Linked DNA regions of Cricetulus griseus. The protein of the gene in region 1 purifies or fractionates together with the protein of each later gene. This does not show direct contact. Links are inferred from orthologs where the notes say so. Each region holds a gene or a part of one and is shown on either strand. Other genes may lie near its edges. The genes, in order: Mcrip2, Ddx6 and Atxn2.

Region 1 (9,873 bases):
CTAGAAAGTCAGATGCCTGTCTTGTGACAAGGAGCCAATCGGAAGTTAGCTGGTGGCGCTATGCTTTACGACCCTGGGTGTGCTTTACAGACAAGCGCACAGCAATGACGTAGAGAGCATAGCAACCACCCTGGGAGGGCCTATGAGCCATAACAACCAGTTGACCAATCAACACAGGGCAAGCCCTCCAAGCCTGGAGGCACACCAATCGTGAGCCTGTGCGTACCCCTAGACACTCCCCTTACGCTGCCCTATAAGATCTTTTGGGAGACCCAAGGAGCCGTCTTTTCTAGCCGTCCGCCATGGCAGGTGGGTGAAAGACCCGAGCTAACATAGGGTTAGCTCGTTAAATTACAATAAAGCCTCGTGCAGTTTGCAGCAAGCTCTCGAATCCGCCTGGTGATTGGGGTGACCGCGAACCTGGCCTGAGACCCCGGAAACTTGGGTTTTCGGGGGTCTAACAATCAGAATCACTTTAATATGGTCAAAAAAAGCATCCAGTAAGTCAGTCAATGTCTTAACAGGAAAAATTATGATTTGAGCCCTAGGAAATAGTCAATTAAAAGGTTAGCAAAAGCCTATAGCGTTAGCTTAGAGACATGAGGAATCTATGGATGATTCTGTAAAATTTGACAGATGAGAGGATACAGGTCTTGCTAAATTTTTATGGTTAAAAAAGGAAATCTAGAAAATAAAAGTTGATACATGATTTTAATAAGGGTTTGTGAAAAGCCTCAGGAGAGAGCCAACCTGTTAGGTTCTCAGCTTGATTGTGTATTTGCATATGCAAATTAAGCCAGGTCAGCTAAGATGCTAATGAGGTCTTATCAGCTTGTCAGCTTCGAAGGTTAGATTAGAAAAGGCTACTCAGAAACTTTAAATAAATCTGGAGAATTATTAAAGACATGTTGTATTCTAAAGAAATTAAGGCTTAATAGATAGCAATTGGAAAAGATAGTTTAAAATCTTTAAATGAGTTTTTAAGAAATTGTTATAAAATATTCATTGGTTAAGTATCTTTTTTGGAACATCTAATGATGATTTAAATCCTTTAAGTAAGATTCTATAAGGAGATAATGATCCAGATGTACCCAGACAGCTAAGAAGGTAGACAAGTTCTATAATTAGAGGAGATGATTCAGCATCATCAAGATATATTGACTATACAAAACCATGGGAAGCTTATGTACTCCCCACAAAGCATAGTCCGACTTCAGTGCTATGGCAGAAGGAACCATTACTATGGTTGCGCCTAAATATTTTAAACCCTTATTTTAAAGCATTAGCCCACATGGTACAGAAATGCCATATAGATTCTAAGAAGTATTTTAGGAGAGAACCAAGTATGATACATGTCTCCTACACTAAGCAACAGTTTAATTGGTTGTTTCAGAACAATGAGTCATGGGCGATTGGCGATTGTCTTTGCTCAGTTTTCAGGAGGAATCAATAATCAGTTTCTAGCTCATGGACTGTTACAATTTGCACCAATACATCCTTTTGTATTTCCAAAATTGCAAAAAAACAGTCCTATAAAAATATGCTATGTTAATTTTTACCAATGGTTCTATTGGGAGAGTCACTTACATAGATTATTAATTAAAAGGAATGGATAGAGCAGACAGCTCTGGCTTCAGCTCAAATAATCAAACTACAAGCTGTTGCAATGGTCTTTCAGATCCTGGTAAATAATTCATTTAATTTGTATACTGACAGTCACTATGTCTTTAAGGATCTTGAGGTAATAGAGACAATTCCATACATAGGATCCAATATTAGATTGATTTGAGCAAATTCAAAATGTTATTCACCTAAGAGAATTATCATGTTTATGGGTCACACTGGGAACCTATTAAATAGGCCTTTCCCTGATTACTAGCCAAAGGGAATGAATTAACTAATTAACAAAATTGGTTGATTTGCCTTAAATATAAAAAGCTCGACAGGCTTGTAACTTTCTTCATCATAATAGCAAGTCTAAGAAAGAAATTTGGCTTAACCAGAGAGACTGCTGGTCAAATCATCAAACAATGTGGAATATGTCCACAATATGGCTATGGCTAATTTAAGGGTGAATCTTCAAGGCCTGTTCCCCAACCATTTATGGCGAATGGATGTGAATCACATTACAGAGTTTGGCAAGTTAAAAATGTGCCACTCCACAAACAGGAGAAGCCACCAGGCATGTTATAAGTCACTGTTTAAGATGTTTTGCTTACATGGGAGTGCCAAAAGTTATAAAAACAGATAATGGGTCTGGATATACTAGCAAAGCTTTCCAGCAATTTTGTGATTAATGGAAAATTGATCAAAAAACATGTATTCCTTATATCCCCAAGAACAAGGAATAAGAGAGCGGGCCCATAGTGCCCTAAAGCACAGCTTCTAAGACAAAAAGGGGGGAGCTGTGCCCCCAGTCTCCACATGATGCGTTAAATCACACACTGTTTATCTTAAACTTTTTAAATATGGATGCCAATGAGCAATCTGATGCAGACAGATTCTGGCATGAAGGAACTCGAGCAAATTTTGCTCAGGTCAAATGGAGAGAAAAATAGAGGGGACCAGACCCCGTAATTATTTGGGGGTCGAGGGCATGTCTGTGTTTTCTTGCAGGAGGAGAACGAGGTGCACTGGCTACCAGAAAGATTGGTGAGATGCATGGAACTGAGAAAAATGGGACCTGGGCCCACAGGGGACCATCTGAAACAGCTGGAGTGAAACACTGGACCTGTGTTCCTGAACCTTGAGGACATCTGACCTACAGCGGAGGAAGAAAGGAGACACACCCAGTTCCAGTTTCGAGATGCTTTCCAGAGTTCCAGCCTCCCTACAGACGGGCTACATTCACCTCTCCGAATCCGTGAGTGCTCATCCAGGAGCAGACTAAGAACTTGATAAAAAAACAGCTTGCTTTCTTGCCACAAACAGACACACAAAACTGTTTTGCCAGTTTTCTCATTGGGAAAAAGGACCCATTTAGGACAGTCGGATACTGGCATAAACCAAAGTGGCAGAAGCTCCTTCACAATGCTTAAACAAGAAATGGACAAAAGACTTTTTAGTTAACTTTCAAAGACTGTTTTTACAAACCTGATGTTAGAACTTCGGACTTTGAGCAAAAAATAGATAAGTTTCTAGGGGCATTGAGTCCCAGGTAGGGAATAAAAGAGGGTTTACAATTGTGAAATTGTTCACACCTCACAGATTGTGAGAATATCTTATTGTCTTTTGATTGCTTTGTAACTCACCCTAATGTATGTTCATGATGGAATTGTTAATGTTTGTAATCTTGCTATATGTGTTATGTAATTGTTATTAGAAACTAGAAGTCAGAGCTCATTCTTACAGGAATGTAACGTACAGTTTACAAGCCTTAGGATAGAAATATGTTTTAGGGAGCAAACTTTAATAAGGTCCGTATCAGAGGCACTAGAGGCATTGCCACAGATTTTAAAAAGGCCATTTTAACTTTTACATGTCTTCATCCGCAGAAGATTTGCTGCCAAGCTGAGATGCTTTTCTCCTGTAGGTTTCTTGCTGATTCAGAACACTTGGAGCAGGACTATGGCCCATCCTCCACTAACCTTATTTGTTTTACAGAGACTGGTTTCAGCCAAAGACGGTAGGGTTTTCCTTGCCTTCAGGGAATCCTAAGACAGAACACGCATGATGGAATGCGTGATTCCATGACGGGCACCCCTGGTGTAGGTTGAAGGGAGCTCCTAAAACAGGCACAGTCATCTGTCCTGATGCAGAAGCACAGGTTTCTTTTTATTAATTTAAGAGAGAGGAATTGTGGGGGACCAAAGTCTTTCCGCTACGGATTTTATTTTGAGATCCGGCTTTGGTTTCACTAAACATGGAGCACCAGAAAGTTCCGGCACACTATTGTATTGTTAATGCCAGTAAAGCTAATACTGTTTACCATGGCCTCAGGGTAATATGCCTCCTAATTTGCATCTTTATGCGCCTAAGCATCTGAGTAGGCCCTCACCTGGACAGAGGAGCCAGAGGTGTGTGAATAACTTGTGAGGACAGAAAGTTAGGAAGGAGGAGAGGCAAGCAGCCAGAGCAGAGAGAGAACAAAGAGGAAAATGGTTTTCCTCGTGGTATTGGCAGGATGGTTAAGAAACAGCAGAAAAGATGGCTAATAAAGAGAGCTCTCTGAAGATGACAAGATGCCTGTGTTTGATCTTTATCGCCTTTGGGTTGCTAGGAGCTTCCAGGTCCACACCCCCCCACTCAGGTAGAACCTCATGGCTGTCATGGGTTAAAGCTGAGACAAGCCGGGTCAAGACAAATTCTGAGTATTGCAAAGGGCTGGGGGAGTCTAGAGTCTGAGACTGAGAAACAGAGGTGGATAGGTGGACCCAACACCCCCCCCCCCCCCCCCCGTTTCCCCAGGCACTGACACTCTAAGGCAGTTTTTCAACTTTATTAGCCTGGGCTCCTCCCTGCCAGCCCCAGGGGCTGGTCCCTGGGCACAGTGAGCAGGATTGAGGTTAGACAGGTTTGGCCTCTGGCTCTGGCAGCTTGGGATAGCCAAGCCAAGGGAACAACAGGTGCAAAAGTCCAAATGTTGGCACTTCAGGTGTGGCCGGTACCCAGCCAGGCCACAAGGTGGACCGGCGCACCATGGTCCTCTTCGGACAAAGGGTCCACTATGGCAGCATTCCTTCCTGGTCAGGTGTTAGGAACAGTTGGTGATTCTAGCCAGGAACTGTTGTGCCCACCACTCATCCAGGTCAATAGGTACAAAGTCTGTGGGTAGAATAGATGATGGGCAGTGATGCTGTTTTCCAAACTGGACAGCACCTCTGCCCTCCAGCTGACCACAGTCCTAACCTGGACTCCTAGTATAGTACTCAATGGAAAAGGCGGGGGGGGGGGGGGGGACACACGACACGGACGGACAGTCTGGCCCAAAACTTCCCTCCCTAATCCCCTAGGGCTAGAACCTTGTGGAGAGGACTCTTTAGGGATGTAGGGCATGAGGAAAGACTCACTCTGCAGCCGGGGATCAGGAGTGTTCTCCACATACTGCACAGGCCGTGGGGCACTCTCATCGGCAGGGCCGCCATCCAGTTGTCGCTCTACCTGCTGCCAGGCTGTGAGGGAAGGACAGTTAGAATGAACCAGGCCCCTGATATCCCTCCCACCCCAGAATCTGGTGGTCACCTTGGACTCCAGCCCAGTTCAAGGAATGGACATGACCAGGCAGAAAGCCAAAGAACAGTCTAGCCCTTGGGCTGCTAAGAGTCAGGCTATAGTGCGGAAGGACAGGGCAGAGCCAGGTCCACACTACTGGGATTCTGCGGCCAGGGTCACACCCCCTGGTCCCTTACTACCTTCGGACACAAATCGGACGTTCTCCTCGTGGGCCAGTGTGTAGGTCTCTTGGGTTCCCTCGAGGGATGTGGGTGTGGTGAGGGGCCGCCTGCCATTCACTCGATTGAACACAAGCCTTGGCCCTGAACTGTGAGAGGGTAGGAGAGAGATACAGTTGGCACAGCCAGGTCCAGGAGCTATTCTGAAGAGTTCAAGAGCAGCCTCAGTATTTACTCAGTGCACCTGCACAGGCACAGACCCAAACTAGATCCTTCCTTAGTCACAGAGCAGTGCCCTCAGCTGCTGTGGGACAAGGCCTCTCTGCTGCAGACCCTGAGCTTTCTGCAGTTCAGCTCACACCTGTAGCCCCTGGGGCCAGGGAAGGTTGAGTGACTGCAAGTCAGAAAGAGTCCCAGCTCTCTAACCAGACCTTTGGCAGGGAACCGGAATACTCCACCTCTGCATTCCTAACTCCCCACCTACAGAGTGCTCCTGTGCACTCTTAACTCCTCACCCAGAATGCTCCTCTGCACTCCTAACTCCTCACCCACAGAGTGCTCCTCTGCACTCCCATCCAGGCAGGCTTCCAGGAGCCCGGTTTTAACCTCTGCCTGATCAGAACTCTAGTCCATCCCCACCCACCGGGCACAGATACCCCTTCCATCTAGAGATGCCCCACAGACCCAGTCACCTCAATGACACCCCCACTGTTGGAAAACAAACCAAATAAGGATGGATCAGGATTTGCCCTTCCCTCTCCCTGGCTGCCCCCAGGGAGATGAGCACAGAATGCTGGGGAGGACCCACTCCTCAAGGCAAGAAAAAAGGGGCAACTTGAATGAGATGCCCTCCCATGGCTCTGTGCTGCATTCAATATTCAGGGGTGAGGGGTGGCTGAACCCCTCCCAGCTAAGCAGGCCCAGGTCAGGGCAGGAATGTGCCATTCCAGTTTACTGGCTGGTGGCAACTGGCCAAGCCCTGTGCTCATGAAGCCTGGGGTGGAGCCATGGAGGGAATAGGGCCGCACCTACAGTAGGAGGTGGGAGCCAGAGTCCTGGGCTGCACCTGCCACTCCGCCAGGCACTCGCGGTCCCGGTAGGCCTGCTCGCCTTCCTGGGCTCAGGTGGCCCACGCCGCTCTGGGTTCCTCCTCAGGTGAGAGGGGCACTAAAATAAAGAGGAGGGTCTTGAGGGGCACAGGGTCCTGCCAGTCCCAGGGCTGGCAGGGTCTGGTGGCTACAGAAAATCTTAAATGTGCAGGTGGGAACCACAAGGAGGCAGGACTCCTCCCAGACCCATTGGGTACCTGAGGTTTTGGTGAACCAGAGGGCATGAAGGCATTCTTTTTTTTTTTTTTTTTTTGGTTTTTCGAGACAGGGTTTCTCTGTGGCTTTGGAGGCTGTCCTGTCTAGCTCTTGTAGACCAGGCTGGTCTCGAACTCACAGAGATCTGCCTGCCTCTGCCTCCTCAGTGCTGGGATTAAAGGCGTGGGCCACCAACACCCAGCTTACACTTTTTTTTTTTTTTTTTTTTTTTGGCATGAAGGCATTCTTAATGGAAATCCCCCTTTGCTTACAACCACCTCTATACCTCAAAAGGTTTCAAATGATGAAAGCTTGAGGGCTGGACAGTGATTCTTTTTGCATGAATGTTTTTGTTTTGTTGAAGCAAGGTGTAGACACGCAGAAATTGTCCTAAGTACCAGGATGCAGGTGGGTGTGTACTACCACGCCTACCTGGGGCTTACTCTGATTCTTAAAAGAAGGAAATCCCAGCCAGGGGCTGTGACTAGATCAAGGTGGTGGCCCTGACCCAGAGGGCAAGGGCTACAAACCCAAAGCTAAGCCCGGCCCCACCCCTGCTTGGAGGCAATGGTTATGTAAGACAAGGCTCTGTAGGGGAAAGGGCACAAGTCCCAGAGTGCACCTGTACCCACTCCTGGGAACAGTGACTGCAGTGCCAGGCCATAGTGCCCCACAGACCTCCTCTCATGTACTCCCTCAAGGTGACTGGTCACCCATTTTTCATACTGGGAAGAGAAACTTCTTGCCTGTGTCATGCAACAAAGGTGGTCAATCTAAGATTTAGCAGTATTTTGACTCCAATGCTCACAACTTTGACTCTGGCCCACTTCTCTTCTGCCTAGTGGTCCCTGAACATTCATTCATTGCTCCATCTACTTCTGGGGGGCAGGTAATCAGTCATATGATCTCATCTCGAGTCTCTCCCATCTGTCTCTTGCCAGGACAAAGGATGTCACATCTGACCATCATCTCGGGCAGCGCCTATACCCAACTATTTAGTGAGTTGAAAGATTTGAGATTTTGCCACATGCCAGCAGGAGGATAACCAGCGCCTCCCATGTTCCCTTCTCCTAGAGCTTGTCAGAGAGATGGTAGCTGAGGAAAGCTCCAGGGAAAACAAGAACGGGAAGGTAGTAAACACAGATTTTGAAGGGTGGCCTTGAGAAGATAAAAGATTAGATGTAGATGTATTTGTGGAATCCCTATAGGAGCTGGAAGTTACCAGTATGGGGTCAAGGAAGGAGCAACTCCCCAGAAACCTCGAGGAAGTAGGGGGGACACCTTGCCCTGTCTCCTCAGCTCCCAGAGCCTAGAAGTACTTGAAATCACTGTCCCTCACGCTTCAGGTGCTTTAACTGGCCACTGATGGGTGACTCGAGGCCTCCACATCAGTCTAACTTCCTATTTAGAGTAAATAGCCAGTGTGGTGTCCCTTGCAACTTATGGAGTTCTGGAGACTGTCCTCCTCATGGATATCACCCTCAATATTGCCACAAACCTGTCCTTGCTGTCCCCCAACAATGAGGACTTAAAAGGCTATTCCAGCTCCAGACTCCCTGTCTGGTTGACCACTTTGTGGTTACACACCTGCACCATAGAGTCCTCCCAGAGACATAAGGGCAACGGGGACATAAACTGATATCATCAGGAAGCCCCCTAGGAACTGCTCATCCAGAATGTAGCAGAGTTGCCAACATGCCTCTGTAGCAGGAAGCCCTCAATTCTGCCAGAATGTCAAACACAGTCCCACACAGGTGTCTCCTACCTATGGCATCTGAAGCCCAGTAGCTGAGAGATGGGGTAGACTTCACCACACCGACTCTCCAGCTGAGGCTAGTCTAACTCTTGGCCTCCTTACAGATTAGCCTCAACTTGTGCCCCAACTGAGAGCCTAGGGCCCTTAGCTGGTCACATGCCACCTATACCAGCATCTTGAGCCCAAAAGCCTACATGCCTGCAGCGATCAGGAGCAAAGTCTATTGTCACAGGAAACAGTAAATTGAGCCAAAGAAGTATAAGGTTCAGCCTTGAAGGGGTGGGACCATTTCCAGGTCACAGTAGCTGAAATCCAAAGTAGTCTGGCCTGAGCTTCCCTGGGGCCTTGGACACACTGCTAGTTCTGAAAGTGAGGAAACTGTTGGGTCTGACAGGCCCTGACACTGGCTGGGGAGGAGGGCTCCAGTGCCCCAGGGTGTCAGTGAAGGGCAGGGACCTGATAAGGCCAGCGGGGAACACGTGCGCTTTTTCTGCAAGGACAGGGCCTGAAGACCTTGAGGGCCAGCGCCTTGGGCAACTTTCCCCAACTTTGACCTCGACCGCTTCTCAATGGGTTCAAGTTAGCGGCCCACGGTCGCCAGGTCCCTCGGTCTTGGGTACCTGAGGTCCTTGACAGGCAGGTGCGGTCGGAAGCCCGCAAGGCCCCACGTGGCCACCAGGGTCCACGCACGCCAGCTGGGCCCAGTAGTAGCCAGCGAGCCGAAGCGCGCGAGCCGCCTGCGCCCCGCCCCCTGCCCGCCAGGACGCGTGGTCCTCATCACCTTCTCCAAGGTCACTCTCGTGCCGGGCGGCCCCGCTCACCTTGCCAGTGGCCAGGGTCCCTGAGACTGTGCCGAGGGCTGCTCGCGCGCGGGAAGCGCGGTCGGCGGCGCGGGCTGCCGGCATTTCAGGAGCTCGCCGAGTCTGCTCTCTACCTGCTGCTGTGTGGGACCTGCGGGCCGGGCGGAGGGCGCGTCAGCCGCCGCGGGCCAGCGGTCAGGACGTCCCGCCTGCCTGCCCGCCCGCCCTGCGCACCTGTGCGGCGCTGCGCGACCAGCTTGCTGGGCCCCTTGGTGATGGTGTACATGGTGCGCCGTACCGCCTGCCCCTGGCAGCGGTTAGATCAGGCACCCTCCACCAGCTTCACTCTGCGGTCCCTGGGGCACGGCCCCTTTAAGGACGGAGGACAGACTGGGAGGGGCGGAGCGACCCACACACGCCCCCTGCCCTTAAAGGAACCGCGCCCACTTGGTAGCCTTTCCAATCCTTTAGAAAATTGGCCAAGATGCTAGATCTGAGCCAGAGGCGGGGTACACTCACCAACGAGTATGCCAGACTGTAATCCATCATCAGATTGGAGCGTGTGTGTGTGTGTGTGTGTGTGTGTGTCTGTCTGTCTGTCTGTCTGTCTGTCTGTCTGTCTGTCTGTCTGCCGGCCTTCTGTCTTTATCTGATCTGTTGTCTGGTATTTCTGGTGAGGGAGG
Region 2 (10,713 bases), on another chromosome or scaffold:
ATTAAAGGTGTGAGTCACCACCATTCCCCTCATTTTCACGTTTAAGCTTACTTTCTTGTATGTTTTCAAATAACCACAACAAAAATACTTATTATCTAGGACACAGTAAAGGATAACCAAGTTACTGAAAATTAAGCACACAAAGAGAAATTACACAAAAAAGATAGAACACACACTGTTCAGCTACGAATCCCTACAAATAACTGTTCACAAACCCGTCACTCAATAGTGAGCTCTAAGTTTGGCAAGAGTATTGTTAAGACAAGGTGGTTGTAAAGTACCCATTTAAAAGTAACTAAACTTTAAGAAATAAGGTTTAAATTTATTTATGTGTATGTATGTGTAAGTGTATGTTCTGTATGTCCCTGCAGAAGAGAGTGTCAGAGTCCCTGGAGGTGGAGTTACAGCAGTTATAAGTCATTGAGGCAGGAGCTAGAAACACAACTGAGGGCTACTGCAAGCAGAAAGTGCTCTTAATCATTAACCATCTCTCTTCTGTCCCATAAAAACAAGGTTTTTAGAATTCATAAAAACAAAAACACCTCTATCATTTTCTAAAGGCAACAACAGAGAGAGTTCCAGGACAGCTAGAGTTACACAGAGAAACCCTGTCTTGAATAACCCCACCACGCCAAGACAGGGTTTCTCTGTGTAACAGCCCTCGCTGTCCTGGATTCTAACTCTGTAGATCAGGCTGGCTTCAAACTCACAGAGATCCGCCTGCCTCTACCTCCTGAGTGCTGGGATTAAAGGCATGCATCACCATGGCCCATCTATGACATTTTTAAATGTTATTTTCTTCAAATTTTTCTACAAGATAAAAGGAAGAACCCCTTTCAAAGCTCAGAAAGTTTTCATTAATCATTACTAAAATAAAAATTAAATCATGTCTTAAATGATGACAGATCACTAGTGTAGTATTTCTGAGAATACAATTACTGAATGGTTCTGTAGATTTTTATCTTTTGTACGTACAGCCCTGCTGACATGAGTTCCATACCTAAACATGTCCTCTGATTTCCATGTGTATTTTGGAAAGTATGCACATGTATGTATACATGCCCGAGTGCTTGCAAACACACAACACACAACACACAACACACACACACACACACACACACACACACACACACTCTCTCTTTCTCTCTCTCTCTCTCTCTCTCTCTCTCTCTCTCTCTCTCTCTCTCTCTCTCTCTCTTAGAAATTGAGCCTACATGGAAAGAGAGCCAACTCCTAAAGGCTTTCCTCTGACCCCCACATGTGTATCATGGCAGCCATATGACCACATTCACAATAATAAATGAATTTTTGAAAAATCGTAAGAGCCATCATTTAGCATAATATACCATGCTACTGTAAAAGGTAGAATTCCTACTCATACTCATTGATAAAGGCTAAGAAACAATTCTTGGTGATGGTAGTAAAGACCAAACACAGGCATCTTGTCATCTTCAGAGAGCTCTCAGTTCCATGTTGTGGAACTAGAGTCATTTCTTTATTAGCCATCTTTTCTGGTGTTTCTTAACCATCCTGCTAATACTACGAGGCTGCTCTGGCCGCTCGCCTCTTAACTCCCAACCTTCTCTCCTCCTAAGTTACTCATACCTCTAGCTCCTCCGCCCAGGTGAGGGCCTATTCAGATGCTTAGGCACAGACAGATACAAATAAGAGGCATATTACCCTGAGGCTATGATAAACAGTAGTAGTCGAATGGCAATTAACAATACAATGACCCAGAGCTCCCTGGCGCCACCACTGTTGACAGCAGCAAGAGACTGGGATCTAAAATATTCCATAACAGAGATATTCGGTCCCCCACAGGGTTTCTCTGTGTAGCTTTGGAGCTTATCCTCACACTGGCACATGCTCTGTAGACCAAGTTGGCCTCGAACTCACATAGATACACCTGCCTCTGCTTCCCCGGTGCTGGGGTTAAAGGCATGCACCACCAACGACCGGCTCTGAATGATTCTAAGAATCACCATTTTATGCTTTGCATAGTGCTAGGTTTGATCCTTAGTACTGCATATATTGGGTATAAAGTTTGAGGTCATTCTCAGCTGCATAGGGAGTTCAAAGTCAGCCAGAAGTAAACAAGGCCTCTTTTTGTCTATGAATAAATAAAATCAATCTCTGTCATCTCTCTGTCTCTCTCTCACACAAATCCAAAACCCCAAGCCAGGTGTGGTGGTCTACACCAGCGCCCAGGAGCAGAGGCAAGGCCAGCCTAGTGTACACAGTGAGTTCCAGGACAGCCAGGAATACACAAGGGAGACCCTGTGTCAAAACACAAACAAGTAACACCCACGTTCTCACCTTTGGGTGATCACTTACAACTGGTTCTCAACCACTGTTCTCCTAATGCTGCCACCCTGTAATACAGTTTCTCAGGTTATGGCAGTTCCCAACTGTAACATTATTTTGTTGCTACTTCATAACTGTAATTTTGCTGTTATGAATCATAATGCAAACCTCTGTGTTTTCCAATGATTTTAGGCAACCCTGTGAAAAGGCTGTTCGACCCCCCCCCTTCCCCTCACAAAAAAGGGGTCATGGCCTACAGGTTAAAAACCACTGTCTTAGAAGATTACTTCTAGGCTGTCCTATCTTCCTGGATATATAAAATGCAACTAATTCCAACTAAAAAGGTACCCATCATGTATTATTAAAACTATCTGTTCTCAGCCAGCTGTGATGGCCTACACAAAAGCAAGAGGATCTGAGTTCAAGGCCACCCTGGTCTTAAGAGAGTTCCAGGACAGCCAGGGCTACAAAGAAATCCTGTCTTGAAAAACCAAGTAAGAATCAGTACTCCATAGATTCCAAGGTCAGAGCATAATAATAAGCATAAGATACATAATTCTAGTTAACACGTTACACCAAAAGGAACTGCTCAATAAAAATGAAGTTTATCACAAAATACATATATGAACCACCCTAAAAGGAGTCAAATTTGTGACACCTGAGCACACAAAAATATGATTTAAAAAAAAAAATCTTGAGTTCACACAAATATACATGAAGCAGGAAGGAGAAAGGCTGGGGTACATCTTAGTGGTAGAGTGTTTGGCGGCATGACCAAGGTCCTGAGTTCAAGTCTTAACATCACAAACCCCAAATACTCTTTTAAAGGCACACATAAGGGGAAGTTCTTTATAGGGGCCAAATATGGAAGGATCAATTGAGCTGAAACTTACAAGAAACTCACTACAACCCAGACCAATGAGATCAAGATTCAGGATGATAATTAAAAAACTACAATAACCAGGAAAGTTTGATAGAGAGAATGGATTTGTTTGGTCTTTAAATATTTTCTAGAATATTAACTGGTTTTAAGGGAGGGAGCAAAAAGTAGTTATCATCATCCATTATAGAGCTAAAAAATCAGACAACACTTGGACAAGACAATCCAAATTCATGACATCACTAATCAAGACTATACACACCTTCAAATCTGATATCCTGAGAAACCTGTTACATGAGTTTTGCAGTATTTTTGCTGAACAAGCATGACTTGAGCCTTCCATTTATTTAAACAATGAGCCAGCCTTCCATTTATTTTAGACAAATAAATGTAAGAGACTGGAGATGTATCTCAATTAGTAGAATGCTCCCCCAGCATGCACAAAACCCTGCCTTTGATCCCCAGCAGTATATAAACTGAGCAAAAATTTACAAGTCTATAACCCTAACACTCTTGTACAGAAGGATTAGAAGTTTAAGGTCACCCTTGGCTACACAGGGCTTGAGGCCAGCCTAGGATACATGAGACCCTATCTTAAAAAACAACAGAGCCAGTAAGATGGTTTGGTAGATAAAGGTATTTGATGCTAAGTACAACAACCTGAATCTGATCCCCAGAACCTACTTAGTAGAAAAAGAGAAGTAGGTTGTTCTCTAACCTACACACAAATATAAACATGACCATGAACAAACACGGGTGAGTGTACACACACACACACACACACACACACACACACACACACACACACACACACCATTAAAACAAAGGCAATGAACAGAAGGCTCAGGTGTTATTAAAATAAACACTTGCTGCTCTTCCAGAGAGCTCAGGTTTTATCCCCAGAATCCACATAGCCATTCACAACCACTTTTAACTCCAGTTCCAGGGGATCCAACACTTTTCCTTGTCTACCCCCCTCCCCCAACGCACTGCACGGGATACACAGACATATATGCAGGCGAAACACCTGTACACATAAAATAAGATTAAATAAATCAGCTGGGCTTGGTGGTCCATGCCTTTAATCCCAGCCTGGTTTACAGAGAGATAGAGTTCCAGGACAGGCAAGGCTATTACACAGAGAGAAGGGGAAAAAAACAACAACCAAAAAACAAAAACACACTGGGCGTTGGTGGCACACGCCTTTAATCCCAGCACTCAGGAGGAAGAGGCAGGTGGATCTCTGTGAGTTCGAGACCAGACTGGTCTACAAGAGCTAGTTCCAGGTCAGCCTCCAAAGCCAGAGAAACCCTGTCTTGAAAATCCAAAAACAAAACAAAACAAAAAACATAAAATATAAAAATAAACATTGAAACCACCAAGCAACAACAACAAAAAAGCTCACAACACACACAATCCCTATTCTTAGGAAATATACACCAAGAGACTCACAAGTTAATGAAGTGATTCTATAATTTAACCTGTAAAAGTTCAAGATGGCCAGGAGGCGGCGGCGGCAGTGAATGCTTTTAGTCCCCAGCACTCGGGAGGCAGAGGCAGGTGGATCTCTGTGAGTTCCAGACCAGCCTGGTCTACAAAAGCTAGTTCCAGGACAGCCTCCAAAGCCACAGAGAAACCCTGTCTCAAACAAACAAACAAACAACCCCAAAAGGTTCAAGAAAGGGACTGGAGAGATGGCTGTTAAGAGTCCTGACTACTTTTCCAGAGGAATTGGGTTCAATTCCCAGCAACCCACATGACAGGTCATAGCTGCTTGTGACTCTAGGATCCAATCCCTCAAAGACACACATGCAGGCAAAACAGCAATGCACATAAAAAAAGATATATAAAGTTCAAGAAAAAACTGAGAATGAGCCGGGCATTGGTGGCGCATGCCTTTAATCCAAGCACTCGGGAGGCAGAGGCAGGAGGATCTCTGTGAGTTCGAGACCAGCTTGGTCTACAAGAGCTAGGACAGTCTCCAAACCCACAGAGAAACCCTGTCTCGAAAAACCAAAAAGGAAAAAAACAAAACAAAACTGAATGGTGATGCTTGCCTGTAATCCTAGACTTGAGAGGCTGAGGTAACAAGAGCTCAAAGGCCAGCTTCAGCTAACTTTTAATTTGAGGCTACTATGGACTAGAAGCTGCCCTGTATAAAAAAAAAAAAAACACTAAAAGTACAGAAAAATACTGTATACAAACACACATTACACTATTCCCACACGTCAAAAAAATCAAGTAGGGACTAAAGACATATCTCAACAGTTAGGAATACCGGTTATGCTTCCAGGGAACGCATTTCAATTCCCAGCATGGTGGCTCACAACCATCTTTTTTTTTTTTTTTTTTAACTTTTATCTGCATTTATTTTATGCTGAATTTATTCCCGTGCCGTAAGTTTTGTTTCTTCAATTTCTTCTGGGATATCTTTCTCTTCTGTGCAACCTCCTCTTCTGGCTTTGGAACAATCTGTTCCTTTTCCGTGAGGATCATTCGATGTGGCAGGGGGAGCTCATGAATGGGCTAATCCGCCGTGAGCTCTGTAAATTCGTCGACGCATCTTAGGTGCTTTGTTCACCTGATGTGTTCAATGACCAGAGAATCTAAGTCTAGACCCTTAAGCTCAGCATTACTCTCTGCATTTTTAAGCATGTGCAGCAAAAATTCAGCACTCTTTTTCGGCCACCGACCCTGTGTCCAGCCCCAGGCCTGGGCGCCTGCTGATTCCACCATTGTATTGCTGGGATGGCACACATTGCTTCTTCAATGTGATATCTTTCAGGTATTTGGTGGCTTTTCGGATATGCATACCCTTGATGGCCTGGGCAGTTTCACAGGTATTCTTAAAGTGAACCCGGAGATTTGAACCTCTTGACTTGCATGATTTTGTAGGGTTTTCTGGGTCGAGAGAGTATCGAACCATCTTCACAGGTTATCTCAGGTAGCTTCACTCACAACCATCGTTAACTCTAGTTCTAGGGGGTCTGAGGCCCTCCCTTCTTGCTTCTAGAGGTACTAGACAAATATGCAGACAAAACACCCATCCATGTAATTTTTTTTCTTGTCAAGACAGGGTCTCTGTAGTCCTGTCACTCTAGACCAAGAACTGGAACTCAGAGAGATCTATCTGCCTGCCTCTGCCTTCTGAGTTCACTGCCCAGTTATAAAATGAGTATTTTAATGTTTGCTGAAGTGTATAATGCATGATACATAACCTTCATGTAGCCAAAAGGGTAAACATACCTGAATAGGAGACGGCTTTTCCCAGCCCATTTCAAAAATTCCCATTAGCAACTCCCGTTTCAAACAGTAATCTTCAAATTCATTTCCTTTTGTGGAAGTCACATCCTAATGAAACAAACAATAAAATAAAATGGAACCCTGGTTCTTTCATAGTTAGCATGCTTTAAAAAAAAGTAACAGACCTGAACCCTTTATCCACTTCAGCTTAAAAATGCATATTACTACTGTTTTAATTTCTATTTCAACTTTCCCTGGAGAGTAACTCAACAAATATACATCACTTAAAGATGGAGCTTTGGGGAAAGCACCTATGATCAGTCTAAGGCAGAATATTTCTACATAAATAACATACAATTAACTACAGATATGAAATAAAACCCCAGTTCCCCTACTCACTAGCTACCAATATCTTTGGCTATGTCTTTGGGTTTCTCAAGCATAGAGCTTTGACATTTGTGGCCAGGCTGACATTGGTGTTTTGAGGCTATTTATAAGGATCCCAAGTTGGCAACAAAAAATACTTCTAGCTATTGTTACAAGAAGTGTCACAAAAATCACCCTTGGTTGAGAATATTGGGATAAAGAACTTCTCTGAACACATTCATACATAGTGGATACAATACCTAACCTGAATATAGCACTGAGAGGCTGAGGGGGAAAAAAACTGAGAAAATTAGGTAAAGATAGCAGCTGGGGGTGGGGTGGTAGGGTAGCGTCCACCTTTAATGCCAGAGCTCTGGAGGCAGAGGCAGGTGGATCTAAGTTTGAGGCCAGCCTGCAATCACAGAAGTCTTGTCTCAACAAAACAAAAACCAAACAAACAAACAAAAAGATATGCATGCAAACACACATGCATGGGCACCCACAAGCCAGCATATTTCTTAATATATATATATATACATATATATATGTATATATATATATGAATTTTTAAAGCAATCTAATACCTATTAACCATACAGTTTCAATCATTTCAAATTGCTTTAAGATTAAATATATATGTTGCCTCTACTAAATAGTGAATGAAACCCTATCTGAAAAACTAAAGATGCTCAAAAATAAAATCTAGTTGCTAGCCTGATGGGACATACCTAACTATACTCCCAGCACTAATAAGACTAAGGAAGGAGAACACTGATAGTAAGCCTGGACTATATAGGACATTATTCTCAAAATAGAACAAAAAATAACAAAAGGACTAAACACATGGTGTCATTTCATTCAATTACTTTACTTGTAATTGCCCCTTCCTTCCATTTTTGAATTCTACAACCCAACTTACCGAAGTTTTGATTCTTAGATCCTTTGGAGGGAGTTTTAAAGTCTTTTTCCAGTCATCACCAGGTCTAGAGAGAATATAGTAAACATAGTTGTCACAATTCATAGCTTCCCTGTTAATACAAATGAAACCTTTCAAATAGTACTACCTCTCTAAAAAGCACTTAAGTTTAACATTCCCTGCACTTAATTAACAAAAGTGTTAACTTCAGGAAACATGTTCTTTGAGAAATCATCTAAGGAGGATGAACTTAGTACAAGTGTTTGTCAAACACATCTTATCTGATCTACTAGTCTTTTTAATTAGCTACAAACATTTAACATCTAGATTTCATGTAAAGGCTCAGTTTCTAGATTTTCTTGAAAAAATGCCAAATCCACAACAGTTCAGAGACACTTTGGCAATAATGTTTCAAGTTCTTGTACCGTAACAGTAACTGCAACTTTTTATTTTTTCTTTTTTAATGATAAGAATTGAACCCAGGTCCTTGGAAAAGCCAAGGAGTTACCAGTGGGCTACTTAGTAACCAGAACTTAATATCAACAGGTGATGCTTTTAAACAGTAAGTACTTTCTAAATCAGCACAGTACCCTATAGTCATCCAAGCCTGTACTTCTGGTAACTAGCTGATTCTTGTTAAAACCAAGAGTGTCTGCAGTCCCTGCTACCCAGGAGAATGAGGCAGAAAGACCACCTGAGCCTGGTAGTTGCAGGCTAGTCTGAACAACAGAAAGACCGTGACTCAACACACCATACAAAACCACACAAGTCCTGACGTTTCTAACAGGGGTTAAGTCTCGATTCTATTCCTTATTCCTTCCATGATGCCGCACCAATTACTTCCCCAACCCTCTATACTATCATATACAAACTGGGTGTCTAAATCAATAACATATATAATGATGGCACGATGACATTCACCAGGTGATTCCAGCACTTTGGAGGTGGAAGTAGTACGTTTAGGAGTTCAAGGTTACCCCTGTTACATAGCTACTTGAAGGACAGTCTGGGCTGCCTCCAAAAAAAAAAAAAAAAAAAAGCTAACAGTAATTTACGTAAACAGTCAGTACTAACAAAGTAAGAACTTAGTACTTAGCATTATCTGTTCCTGGACATCCCAGTCCTTTCACCCCAAGCTTCATTTATCTAAAGCTAGAGCCTGCATAAAGAGCAGAGTCTTTTTTTCTTTTTAAAATTTAAATGAAAGCTTGCTATATAGACCAGGCTGCCCTTGAACTCATGATCCTCTGCTTCTGCAGAAACCACTGAATTTTTTTTTTAATCACTGAACTTTCTAAGCAAAAACACCAGGTAACAACCCAGTATAATAGCTTGCCACACAGTCAAATTCAACAATACATATAAGATATAATGCAAAAACTGGCCCACAAATTACAAATATATCTTAAAAGTGAGAAAATTGGTGATAGAGATAAGTACTGAAGAGTCAGTTCTGAAACAGCTGACAAAATCCAGAACACTTCAAAGAAATGACACACTAAGACACAGAAAATCCCAGAAGAAAAACTGTTATCTCAAATCAAAAATTTTGAGTAATACTTTCATAATGAAGTATATATCTGCCCTTAGGAACTGAAAGGAGCCTAAATTTTGCCTGCCTGTTTGTGTTAAAATAAACTATAATTTGTAAAATGTTTTTTATACTAGTTAAAACCAATTCCACTGTGCTAATCCCAGCAATTGGGAGGCACAGGCAGGTAGATCCCTGAGTTTGAGAACAGTCTATATACAGAGTTCCAAGCTAAAGGGTTACATAGTGTGGACCTGTATCAAAACAAAACATCGGGTATTCTTAGAGATCAACAGTGAATTGACTACCAATAATCTATACATTTTAGCAGCCAGGGAAGACTTCTTTTGTATTTTTAACAGAAGCCCAATTTCCACTGAGGTAAAGTTTTAAGTGCTAATTCCTTATAAATCAATCTTTAGAGTGACAGTTCCTTCCTTTCTTTCCTCTCTTCCTCCACCCCTGCAAGACAGAGGGTTTCTCTGTGTAGCCTTGGCTGTCCTGGAACTCGCTCTGTAGACCAGGCTGGCCTTGAACTCACAGAGATCTACCCGCTTCTGCCTCTGAGTGCTGGGATTAAAGGCGTGCGTCACCATGACCTGGTAAGCCTGTCTTTAAAAAATAAAAAGTATGAATCATTAAATTTGCTTTGTCGGGGGGCTGATTAAGAGCACTAGCCTAGGTTCAATTCCCAGCACCCACCAGGAGGCTCACCACCATATGCAACTCCAATTTCAGCAAATTCAACCCACTCTTCTGGCCTTCACAGACACCAGGCATGCATGTGGCATACAGACATATATGCAGGCAAAAGCCCATGCACATAAAATTTTGTTATTTTAAATAAATTTTCTTTCTCAAACTTTCAAATAGCCTTAACTGTTGTATAAACTAGGGCAAGTTGCAGTGGTGACATTAGAAGCAAAAAAAAAAAAAAAAAAAGTTGGGTGTAGTGGCTCATACCTGTAACCCTAATACTTGGGAGACTGAAACAGGAAGATCACCACAGTGGGCTACAAAGTAAGCCTTTCTCAAAAACCAACAGAATGGGGACCATTTTATTCACCTTTATACAAACAGCACATTTATTTCTAAACATAGTAATTTATAAATGCCTATATTCACCACTTTGAGTTAATTACAGCAGAAATACATTCATTATTCTATTACAAATACCTACTGATTATAACAAAAGTCATCTGCCCTCCATCTGCAATCAAAATGGTTAATTTAAGGCATAAAGTGGTCAACAACAAAAGTAAACAGAACTGTGGGTCTCCACATTTTTCTTCTAGAACTTACTTAATAGTGGCCGTCATGCTCTGTGCTTGCTGTTGAGTGCCATTATTGATTGTGTTGGTGTTTTTCAACTGGTTCATCTGTTGCTGTGTCTGTGTGCCCCCTCCTCCAGGGCCACCACTGGGCTTCACAGGGCCCCTCAGCTGACCATTCTGACTGGACAGACCCATTATA
Region 3 (10,713 bases), on another chromosome or scaffold:
ACATGCAGACAGAACACTGTGCACATAATAAATCATAATAAATAAATAAATCTTTAAAATAAAAACAAACAAACAAAAAAAAAATCAAACACTTCTAATATTCTAGTTTGAGGAGAAAAAAGATCCACTAAATAGAGTTTCTTCCCTGCGTGTCACACCAGAGCAGGTCAGAACCTCTGTCTGATACCACATTAAATAATATACATGGAAGAGAAATATTATACACAGCTAACTTGCTTCCATAAAAACACCACTGTATATTCTGAATATAGCTCTTGGTCTTACAGTGTTACAATAGGAAAGATCTTCATTTCATACCCTCAATAGATGGGGTCAGAGCTCTGTTGGATGCAGGGCTGGCAGGAGTAGGAGATGCAGCTGGGACAGGCATGGAAACTGCTTCAGTAGGGATGATGCCAGCTTGTGGAGAAGCAAGCACAGGCCCACTGGGACTGTTTCCAATACTGTTCTGCCTGGGAGACCTGGGTCTATGAGTTTTTGGAGATAACCTTGGAACTAGAAGCAAAAAGATGCTCATTAAGTTCTCAGAAATATGACAGAAATTACCAATATGTTTTCACTCCTAATTAAATGTGTTAACTTTGAAGTATTCTGATTAAAGCTCAACAGCAAAGTTTAATGCCAAGATAAATTACTAAGGGGAATAAAAAAAAAAAAAGACATCAATAATACTAAGTTACTTTTTAAGGTGTGAGAGAGACTACACCTGTCTATTTCCTTCAACACAGTAAGTAAAACCCCTTTGGTAGCTTGCTGCTCAGCCTATGTACTTTTTCTTGCAACATGAAGATCCAGTTCCAATGCTGAAGTAAATTAGGACATAATTAGCCTAAAGCTGTCTCTTAACACAGAATGAATGAATGAATGAATGAATGAATGAATGAATGAATGCTTCAAAAAAAAGTTTAATGTTTCATTGTCCAATAAAAACCTATTTGCACAGTTCAGACTCAAGGGCATAATGAAAATGGTTCAATTTCCATCACTTTAGTGATTTTTCTTTGTGAAGTCACAAGCATCATAGAAGGAAAGCGTTCACTACTCTAACTTGCCTGTAACATGATTCTCAGTGTTATCTCTAGCAACTGTCACTCTTCTTTTACTTCCAACTAATGTCAAAGGAGTACAACACTTCAAGATTCTTCTCTCACCTTCTACTTTCTTTCTAATCTTCAGCTAAGGTCAAGGGAAACAGCAAAGGAATTTACAGGGCAGCTACTACGATTGCACTATTCAAGGGTATAGGAAAAAAAAAAAGACATTTAACAGTACTGGGCTTTTGTTTAAGCTTAAAGACCTCTTTCTAGCAAAGGTCTACTGGCTAATTAAGAAAAGTAATGGCCAGGCGTTGGTGGTGTATGCCTTTAATCCCAGCACTTAGGAGACAGAGGCAGGCATCGGATCTCTGAGTTCAAAGCCAACCTGGTCTACAAACTAGTTCCAGGATAGCCTCCAAAGCTACACAAAGAAACCCTGTCTCAAAAAAAAAAAAAAAAGTAATGATGAACAGCAAAGCGGGAACAGGTTCTAGTTCTGCAGTCCTGGGAGGAAACACTGCAGACTGACCGATACAACAGTGCAGCAGTCTGGGCCTAATTCAATCTGCTCAAAGTAGGACCCTTGATCTTTACAGCTACTGACAGCTTCTTCTCAGGCTACTCATGTAGACTTGGAAGATCACAAGATGAGTATCTGTTTATTCATTCCACACATAGATGCCATGGAAAAACATTTCGGTAAGTCTAAACATGTTTACAAACTGAATGCAGGGACAGAGTTGCCAGAATAATGGGACAGTACCTTCAACTACTGTCAAGAGTATCTGAGATATTTTATAACTGGCAACTCCTACTTAGGCCACCATATTTAACGAAAGTTCTTCCTCAGATCTTCAGCTGAGCCCTATTATGTTTGTACTATAATGACAAAATCAGCACTGTCACGGTGTCATACCTACCCCCACTAACCACTGAGGACCACGTTCCCCCTGCAGGGCTGGTCCTTGCCACTGGAGGAGCAGCTGCTTCACTTGGGGGGTTGTGGGATACAAATTCTAGGCCACTAGACATGGAGCCTCTCCCAGCAGAGACTCTGTGATTCCGAGGGTGCCGCTGTGCCTTTGGAGACATCCTTGGAGGGCCTAAGGAAGACACAAGGGACGTTGTTTAAGTCCTGCAGTGTTCACCTTGCTTTTTTTTTTTTTTTTTTTTTTTTTTTTTTTTTTTTTACTAAATACAGATATATACTCTTACTTCCCTAATAGCTTTTCATTGGTTGAAGAAAAAAATTAAAAAACCACACTATTCTGATTTTGGCCACATTAAGAATTATCTTGTGGGATGTCAATTATCTAAGTATATTTTATTTCCCCCTTTTAAGGTTTATTTTTACTTTTGACTATATTGTCTATGTGTTTGTGTGAGGGTGTGCTGGGAACTGAACTCAGGTCCTCTGGAAAAGCAGAAGCTTTCATACAGCTGACCGACCTTCCTAGCCTTATTTCCCTTTATTTTTGAGGCATGGGAAATATAAGAGTTGATTGATTGGCGATAAATCAAACAACACACCATAACACTGTATAAACTACAGAATAAGTTATAATAATGTTTTAATAGGAATTACAGCTACACTATAAGTCATTCTTACTTTACCTTTCTACCCAATTTTACTACTTCCAAAATGAGACAAAAAAAAAAAATGTTTTTTGCAGTGCTAGGGACCCCATACTTGCTAGGCCAACATTCTATCTTTGAGCTATATCCTTTAGGGCCTGGGGGGTGGGGAGGAGTATTTTTTAAACAGAAACCTCAATTCTCTTTGGCCACAATCATCAAGTTACAAATCATGGCTTATGGCAGTCCTCACATATAAATGCTGCCACGTAAGACCAGAAGGACATCTGGCAGAAATTTGCACTGTTAACACTACATCACTGATTGTGCCAGCCATTAGGGATGGTTGTGTCTACAGCCATCAGCTATGTAGTACTAAGCCACTGACTAAAAACACAAGCCCAGAACTACCTTTCTCAGAGTCTAAGGTATAGCTCCTAACACATGCTCTCTCCTTGTGTTCTCAGTGGGAACATAGTCAGACATGATCTCTGAGAAAATGGTTCTTAATGTCAGGACTTTATTTTTTTAATTTATTAAATATTTTATGTTTATGGTATGGGGGGTGTGTGCTTGTATATGCCATAGCATGTGTGAGAAGTCAACTTTGTGGAGTCAGTTCCAGATACCAAACTCAGGTCATCAGGCTTTCGTGGCAAGGACTTTTAGCCAGAGCCAGCCTACTGTTAGGGCTTTCACCTAGAGGTACCAACACCCCAGAACAATGTAGAGCATTTTTTGTGGACAGTCCAGGAGCAGCCCTCTTATCTGACTGCAATTCGATGCTCACAGTTCACTTATGCTCACAGCTCTTTATCTAAGGTATTCTCATAGAATAAACACATTTACCCCAATGGTCTACAACAGAGATCCATGTTGTTGCTAGGGACCACTACAAGAGGCAAGCATTAAATGTCAGTGAAATTTGCCTTTGCAACATTTCAATATTCAGCTATGAAAATCCCTTCTGCCTGGGTGAAAATTTAAAAGTAGCCAATATAGTTTACTCCCAAGCAGCTTCTTCAGGAAATTTTATCAGTCTTGATCAGTTATATTTATCATGACTTTACCAAGACAATCTGATTAGAACATTAACAGAAATATTTTGAATTCAAAGGACACTGTCATTTAAAACAAAACATTTTTTTTAACTTATAAATTGCATTAAATCAGAATGCTACCTTTTTGGAACAGGATATTGGGGTGACTGGGACAGGGTCTCACCATATCATCCTGGCTGGCTTAGAATTCATGAAAAGCCAAACTGATCTCACTTTTGGCAATCCTCTTGCCTATGTCCCAGGCATGTACCACCATTCAAAGTGTATGACATGCAACAATAGTGAATTTAGCACCAAAAACAAACAATTTTGACAAGAGCAAAAAGACAAAAAAATTTATACATGTTTTTTAATTGATAAATTTTAGATAAAGCCTCCCCATTAAAGTAGCCTATCACTATAACCATCGTGCAAAACTAATTTAAAAGTAATTATCCAATTAAATTTACAGTTCCTCAGGTACTCTAAAAACTATTTTTACCTGAGGGTAGACATACAAAGCCACTATAAGGAATATCATGGAATACAAAAGACCCCAAAATAGTACTCTGCCTTTGGCCAACAGGAAGGTTCACTGGCACCATGGCAGGGCTGTATCCACCCAAGCACTGAAGCGGTTAAGTGGGTCACAGCCCTGGTGGGGTCATCACTGTTACTGGGCTGAAAGCAGCGCCATTATAGACAGGTCAGATCTCATCTTTACATCCAGGACAGTGCAGAGCTTTATACACAGCACTTAACAAGTTTCACTCTAGTGAACAAAAGGTTAATAGAAATAGTTTTAATAAACTCAAGTTAAAACACAGAAATTATAGGTTATTAAATAATGAAGAGGAAACTACTTCGTAACCATAAACTCACAAAGGAGTTAAACAAAGACAAACAAAAAACATGAACAAATCGTGGTATTGTACCTTCTGAAGACATGCGTTTAGGCACAGTAGAGACAGGAGCTGGAGAACCATGAGCAGAGGGGTGAGACGGGGGTCTGGATGGCCTCGAGGGGGGCCTGGAGGGCGGCCGTGTAGGGGTGGCTGCCCGAGGTGGAAGAGAGTTGGGACCTGACTGGTAGCGAGAAGGTGGGCGAGAGGAAGGAGATGGGCAAGGCGATGGCCAGGGAACACCTGACAGAACAAATGATATGAAGGAAAGTATAAAAACTAAAGAAAAAAATGAGGGAAAAAGTAAACAGAAAAAAAAAGTAAAATGACAAAAATGATTTCTTGTACATTTTAACCCTTTGAGGACAGTCATTTGATTTGTGATAAGTTTTAGCATAACTTAACTGACACAGATTCACATTTTACTTTAACCTCCTTAAAATTAAGTCTGTTTAAATGAATCCACGTTCCCAAAGGGTTAATTAGGATCTACACATACTACTGAAGAAGACAGTTAAGACTCTGCCTAGTAGCCCTACTTCTTCAGCTGCTTTCAGCCATCACTTGTAAAGATAAAGTCACACACATAGATAACTTCCCTCAGTAAACCAGTCACTTCTGCTCAGGAAGGGCATCTCCTTCACTGGTTTTAGCTCTGAACAATAAAAAAGAAATAGCAGCTTCTGAAGCCATTATAAAAACTGTTTCCTTACATTCACCTGAGATGTTCATCAGGTCTGCATTTGAACCTAACCATCAGTTTCAAAGCTCACTAACCAAGTCCCATTTAGGTAGAAATAAGAACTTATTTCTATTGTTTTGTAGAATGCTGGAGTAACAGCACTGGGTGCTTTGTAAAACAAATCTCATTTCAACCCACTAGAAAGTGCCCCACTTATTTACACCCCGCTGTACCAATGTGAAGACCTGCAAACTGCAGGGCACAGGCCCTGACAACACGCCAGGCATTATGACCGTTTCCCTGATGCTCAGCCAATAGTCCAGGGTTCCTTTCCAAGGGGCTCCACATGCTAGAGTATCACATATTTTTCAGCCCCCTTCAAGTTTTTAACTTGAAAATTCTGTTCACAAACAAATGAAAATCTTTACTTGGTGAACAAAGAAATTTCCACCACCATTACTAGGTAGAGAAAATACTCAAATGTTTACTTAGAGAGGAATTCTGGAGAAGACTCAGCAAAAACAAATGAAACTAGAATGTTAGTGTTCCCTGTTTTTACATCTGAAATTCCTCTCCTCCCTTCCTTCAAGATAAGGTTTCCTAATACCCAGACTGGTCTCAAATTCCCAATGTAGCCTAGATTGGGAATCCCCCCGCCTCAGGTGTGAACCTCCTCATCTAGCTTGCACTGTTCTAACCTTCAACACCTGAAATTGGCTGTCGATTCTTTTCCCTCAGTAACAACACACTATTGCTGTCAATTACAATATTGCCATATAATTCATTTCTGCTGTTCAGTCTACCAGATTTCTATTAACATCTATAATCTGTATTCACCTGACAGAAGACACTACAGAAGTGCCTTCCTACTAGAGATCCAAGCAGCCACATTCTAACACCTGCCCTCAGAAACCAAAGGTTCTGTGCTGTATTTTTAGCATGATTTTATTCACATGACTCTTGCTCATAAATAACCCTAAGATCTTCCCTGACATGAACAGAATGGAAATCTATCAGTTAATAAAAACGAATCTGCATTTACTGAGGTGCCTTCCACATGAACTATGCCTAAATAACCACATTTTTTTAAAAACTGAGAATCTCTTCAAGAGTTTCCAATTTGTGTGTGAGGTGTTTTTAGGCCAAATGAGTAGGAGAGATATGCAACAGCTCAGGACCATGGTGTCCCTCTAAATGTGCCAAGGACACATATGATGTCATACTATCTGATAGCCACAAAACAAGACTCAGTTATATTAAAAACTACTCTACAAGATTAAAAAAAAATGGCATGCACATTCCTATCCAGTATGTTAACTCTTAAATATTTAGATATAATCTGGTCAAAATACTTGCCTCCATTAACTACTCTTTGGTCTGAACCAGAGTTCGGGTTGAAGTCTGAGGTGTGAGAAGCAGCTCTTGATGGCATGGAGCCTGGTCCAGGCTGGCCCATCCGTGGTGAGCTCTGTCTCCCACTTCCCCAGGATATGACCTCTCTGTTTCTTTGTCCAGGAGGAATATATTTACTTTCCCTAGAAATAAGAGAACCTCTAAATTATTTATGCTAGCTAAAAAGTACAGGGCTAACAGAACACCAGGTAGAAGAGTTTTTCTCACATAAGGCTCAGTTGCCACCACACTGTCTCATGGCATTGTAACTCTTCCCACCAGCAGTTTAACAAGCTGTGCTCACTCTCATCCTCCCTGACACTCCATGATGATTAGATAAATCACAAAAGTCAGCTGTGAAACCCTGAAGACAGGATGCAGCTTGTGCTTTACCCACAATGTAGCAGATGTTCAACAACATGTTTATGAATAAATGAGAGTCCTACAAGCCCAGCAAATGCACTCAACCCTGAGTCATCAATCATTTCTCCCCACAAGTTCACTTCACACTGTTTTTAGCTCACATGCTCTCAGAAGAAGCATCAGTAAAAGCTGAATTTCCAAGTAAGGCTCAAGCCTTCCTTGTTTCCAGCCTTCCCACAGCGAGTCTGTCTAGCAGCTAACTGCTTTCTCTCAGCTGCACAGTGTTACACAGAGAAAACTCTCTGACTCAGAGCATGTTTGTTCCTCACTGTTCCCTACAAGCCACTCTTCAAATATGGCACACAAGTGCTTCTGCCATCTGCCACAATGACATACAAATACTGACCCTGGGTCTTAGCCTTCGCCTGAAGAGGCCAGACTCTGACAGGGTTATGTGTCTACAGAGATGAAAAAAATTTCCCTCACTGCCAGTGGCAAACAGGTCCCATTATCCTGTTACAAACGTTACCACCTGGTAAGGCTCTTGAACTACACATGCAATTCTAGGGCATTCTCACTCTAGACATCCCCAGTACTCTGAACACACTTTCACCCTGAAAAAGAGTACAATGTCACCAGGTCACTGAGTCCCTCTGAATCTTGTTTTAAGGAGCTCCTTGGGGTCTGGGCTGGGTATTAGTGTCTTCAACACTAGACTCCAGCTGAATTCCAAAAGATCCTATCAAGATGACCACAATCTTTTCTCTAATAGAATCTTAACCAAACCCATCAGCATTGTCTACCTAAGCTTCATTTAAGAGGAAACAGATGCAGGACATTTTCTCATACAACCCTTCAATGTGTCCAACACACTGCACTGTGGTTCCCTTTATATACCTAGAGCTCGTGCCATGGCCCTCACGATCACTGCAGTTTCTCTGGACCGCTGTGTATTTTTCTTCCTCGCTCCTGTCGTCATTCTCAAGGGCCACACGAGCTTTGTACTGAGCACTGGATTCAATTTCCTCTGCTAACTGGTTTGCCCTTGCCTCCCGTTTTAGAAATTCTTCTGAGTTATCTCTTTCTAAGGGAACGCTAAACACAAAGAGAAGAAGACAGAAGTGATTGCTTCAATGTCACACTCATGTTATGCGTCACACACAACTATTAAGAAAGTTTAGTGCATGGGGTCATCAGAGACTTGTTATAATAAATTAAAATATGCATTTTTTGTTACATAGAACATTTACTATTTCAAGAAATGGTTCATGCAAACCCTATCCCTATAAATTTAACCTTTTTACAATTTAAAAACAAAGACAAGGGCCAGGCGGTGGTGGCGCACACCTTTAATCCCAGCACTCTTGAGGCAGGCGGATCTCTGTGAGTTCGAGACCAGCCTGGTCTACAAGAGCAAGTTCCAGGACAGCCTCCAAAGCCACAGAGAAATTTGTCTCAAAAAAAAAAAAAAAAAAAAAAAAAAAAAAAAAAAAAAAAAGACAAAATGTATTTTGTCCAGAAAACAAGGTATGGGGGAAAAAAAACTGTATCTATTCCCTGTTTTAATATGAGTTTGTCAGCCTAAATAGTTAACAAAAATAAATGTCACATCTTTTGGTTTGTTTATTTATTATCTATTTATTTAGGTTTTTTGGGACAGGGTTTCTCTGTGTAACCCTGACCAACCTGGAACTCACTCTGTAGACCAGGCTGGCCTCAAACTCAAGAGTGCTGGGTTAAAGGTGTATGCCACCAGTGTCAGTTTTCTTCTTGTTGTTTCGATGTGTAATTTAAAATGAAACAGACATTAATTCAACAACATAATTTAAGCTGATGTAGACAAAAATTAGCTAAAAGAGAACTTTGTGAACTTACGTATACGAAGATAAACTGCTATCATATGTGGACACTACACCGTAATTCTCTTCATTATATCGAAACATATCGTTGGGATCCCATCCATTAGACTAGAAAGAAAATAAAGGTCATTTTTTAAAATCCCAGTTTTTAATTCAGCTGCAACCAATTTTTGCAATAACATCTAACAAACTGCACTGGCAGGACCTAACTCCACACCTTCCTGTCACAAATGCAAATTTGCTTTTAGAAACATTTTAAAGAAGGCTAGACATAACTCATACCTGTCATACCTAAGGAGACTGAGACAGGAGGATGTTTTGGTTCAAGGCCAGCCTGGGCTACACAGTAAAAAAAAAAAAAAAAAAAAAAAAAAAAAAAAAAAAGCCCCATTTCAAAAAACAAAAAGAAAACAAAACAACAGCTCTTTAGGAAAAACTCTTCTCAAAAGTATCATCCTCTTAGATAAGTAGGTGGTTACATGAGTTATCTGAGAGGATATAAGGAAAACTTAGAGCATCCAGTCACATCATAAATCCAGGGCCTCTTGGGTCAGAGTTCTCTCTCCTTCAGTTGTGCTAACAGCCTTCTGCACAACTTCTATCACTAAACTGGGTCTTAGAATGACAAGAGGTGCATTTTGATAGCCCAAAACATTTGGGAAAGGAAAAGCAGCCAAAATTTTTCCTACTGGATTTCCATGCCAGAATACCACACTCTGCTACTGTCCATTCCCCTAGGCAGGTAAGGAAGGACAGCATAAAGCAATGGGAAAGCTAGTGGGATTTATACCACACAAGCCAAGTTTTAGAAGTGTTTGCCATGAACAACTGCAAAAGAATCTCAGCAACAGCTATGGGCCCCACTGCCCTAACTTCCAACCTTAGCATTGTAACCCTCTATCCGTGAAGGAGGAAACTGCATTCTTCACCCTGGAAGAACTGGGGCAAATACAGCAGAATCTTCAGAGGCAAGTATCAACAGATGGCTTGCCACATACCTCTCTTAGCCTGACAGGTTAAAGCTGGAGAGATGTCTCAGTGGTCAAGGAAGAGAACTAACTCCCATAAGTTGTCTTCAGGACTCCACATGTACACGTGTCCTCTCTCTCTCATTCAGGTTCACTTTCCCCGTGTGTCTCTCTCTCTAATTTGTTTTAATTGGAAGACTATGACTTCTATAATCTTTGAGTGATGCACCATAATAAACAGAAAAATATCCACCAAAATTAAGCATCTTCAAATTACAAGGCACATAAATATCTACTATTAAGAATTTCTTGGGCTTAAGCCAATGGTTTTTTAAGATTAAGAGCTCTTACTACTGAGCCAGGTATGGTGGTACAGACCTTTAATCCTAGCACTCAGAAGGTAGAGGCAGATGGATCTGATTTCAAGAACAGCTAAATCTACAGAACAAGCTCCAAAATAGCCAGGACTACATAGAGAAACTTTGTCTAAAAACAAAACAAAAAACCCAACTAAGAAACTGTCTAGCTGGGTGTTGGTGGCGCATGGCTTTAGTCCCAGCACTCGGGAGGCAGAGGCAGGCAGATCTCTGTTAGTTCGAGACCACCCTGGTCTCCAGAGCGAGTGCCAGGATAGGCTCCAAAGCCACAGAGAAATCCTGTCTCAAAAAAACCAAACAAACAAACAAAAAAAACCCCCAAACTGTCTAAAAATAAAATAATACCCAACAACAACAAAAAAGAGGTATTAGTACTCTTGAATGAAGCTGGATTTCCAGCACCTGCATAGCAGCTCTCAAGTCCAGGGAATTTGATACCCTCTTCTGGTCTTAATGTGTACACAGACTCATTCATATTCTCTGTCTCTGTCTTTCTG

What was found.
Region 2: the proteins of Mcrip2 (region 1) and Ddx6 purify together in Homo sapiens (co-immunoprecipitation; 5 studies listed by BioGRID and IntAct, with this or other methods). This does not show direct contact. The link is inferred for Cricetulus griseus from reciprocal best matches to the Homo sapiens genes MCRIP2 and DDX6.
Region 3: the proteins of Mcrip2 (region 1) and Atxn2 purify together in Homo sapiens (co-immunoprecipitation; 3 studies listed by BioGRID and IntAct, with this or other methods). This does not show direct contact. The link is inferred for Cricetulus griseus from reciprocal best matches to the Homo sapiens genes MCRIP2 and ATXN2.

The regions. Positions count from the first base shown.
Region 1 is NC_048600.1:45,483,430-45,493,302, forward strand, and holds Mcrip2 (MAPK regulated corepressor interacting protein 2), read right to left. Parts: upstream 9,583-9,873; 5' UTR 9,477-9,582; coding exon of another isoform or gene 9,425-9,476; intron 9,342-9,424; coding exon of another isoform or gene 9,296-9,341; coding exon 9,212-9,295; intron 6,498-9,211; coding exon 6,397-6,497; intron 5,480-6,396; coding exon 5,352-5,479; intron 5,112-5,351; coding exon 5,010-5,111; intron 4,765-5,009; coding exon 4,694-4,764; 3' UTR 4,423-4,693; downstream 1-4,422.
Region 2 is NC_048597.1:156,295,802-156,306,514, reverse strand, and holds part of Ddx6 (probable ATP-dependent RNA helicase DDX6), read right to left. Parts: coding exon 10,543-10,713; intron 7,777-10,542; coding exon 7,713-7,776; intron 6,536-7,712; coding exon 6,431-6,535; intron 1-6,430.
Region 3 is NC_048597.1:101,624,214-101,634,926, reverse strand, and holds part of Atxn2 (ataxin-2), read right to left. Parts: intron 8,980-10,713; coding exon 8,888-8,979; intron 8,108-8,887; coding exon 7,910-8,107; intron 6,793-7,909; coding exon 6,614-6,792; intron 4,819-6,613; coding exon 4,609-4,818; intron 2,162-4,608; coding exon 1,979-2,161; intron 517-1,978; coding exon 319-516; intron 1-318. UniProt on the Homo sapiens protein: Involved in EGFR trafficking, acting as negative regulator of endocytic EGFR internalization at the plasma membrane.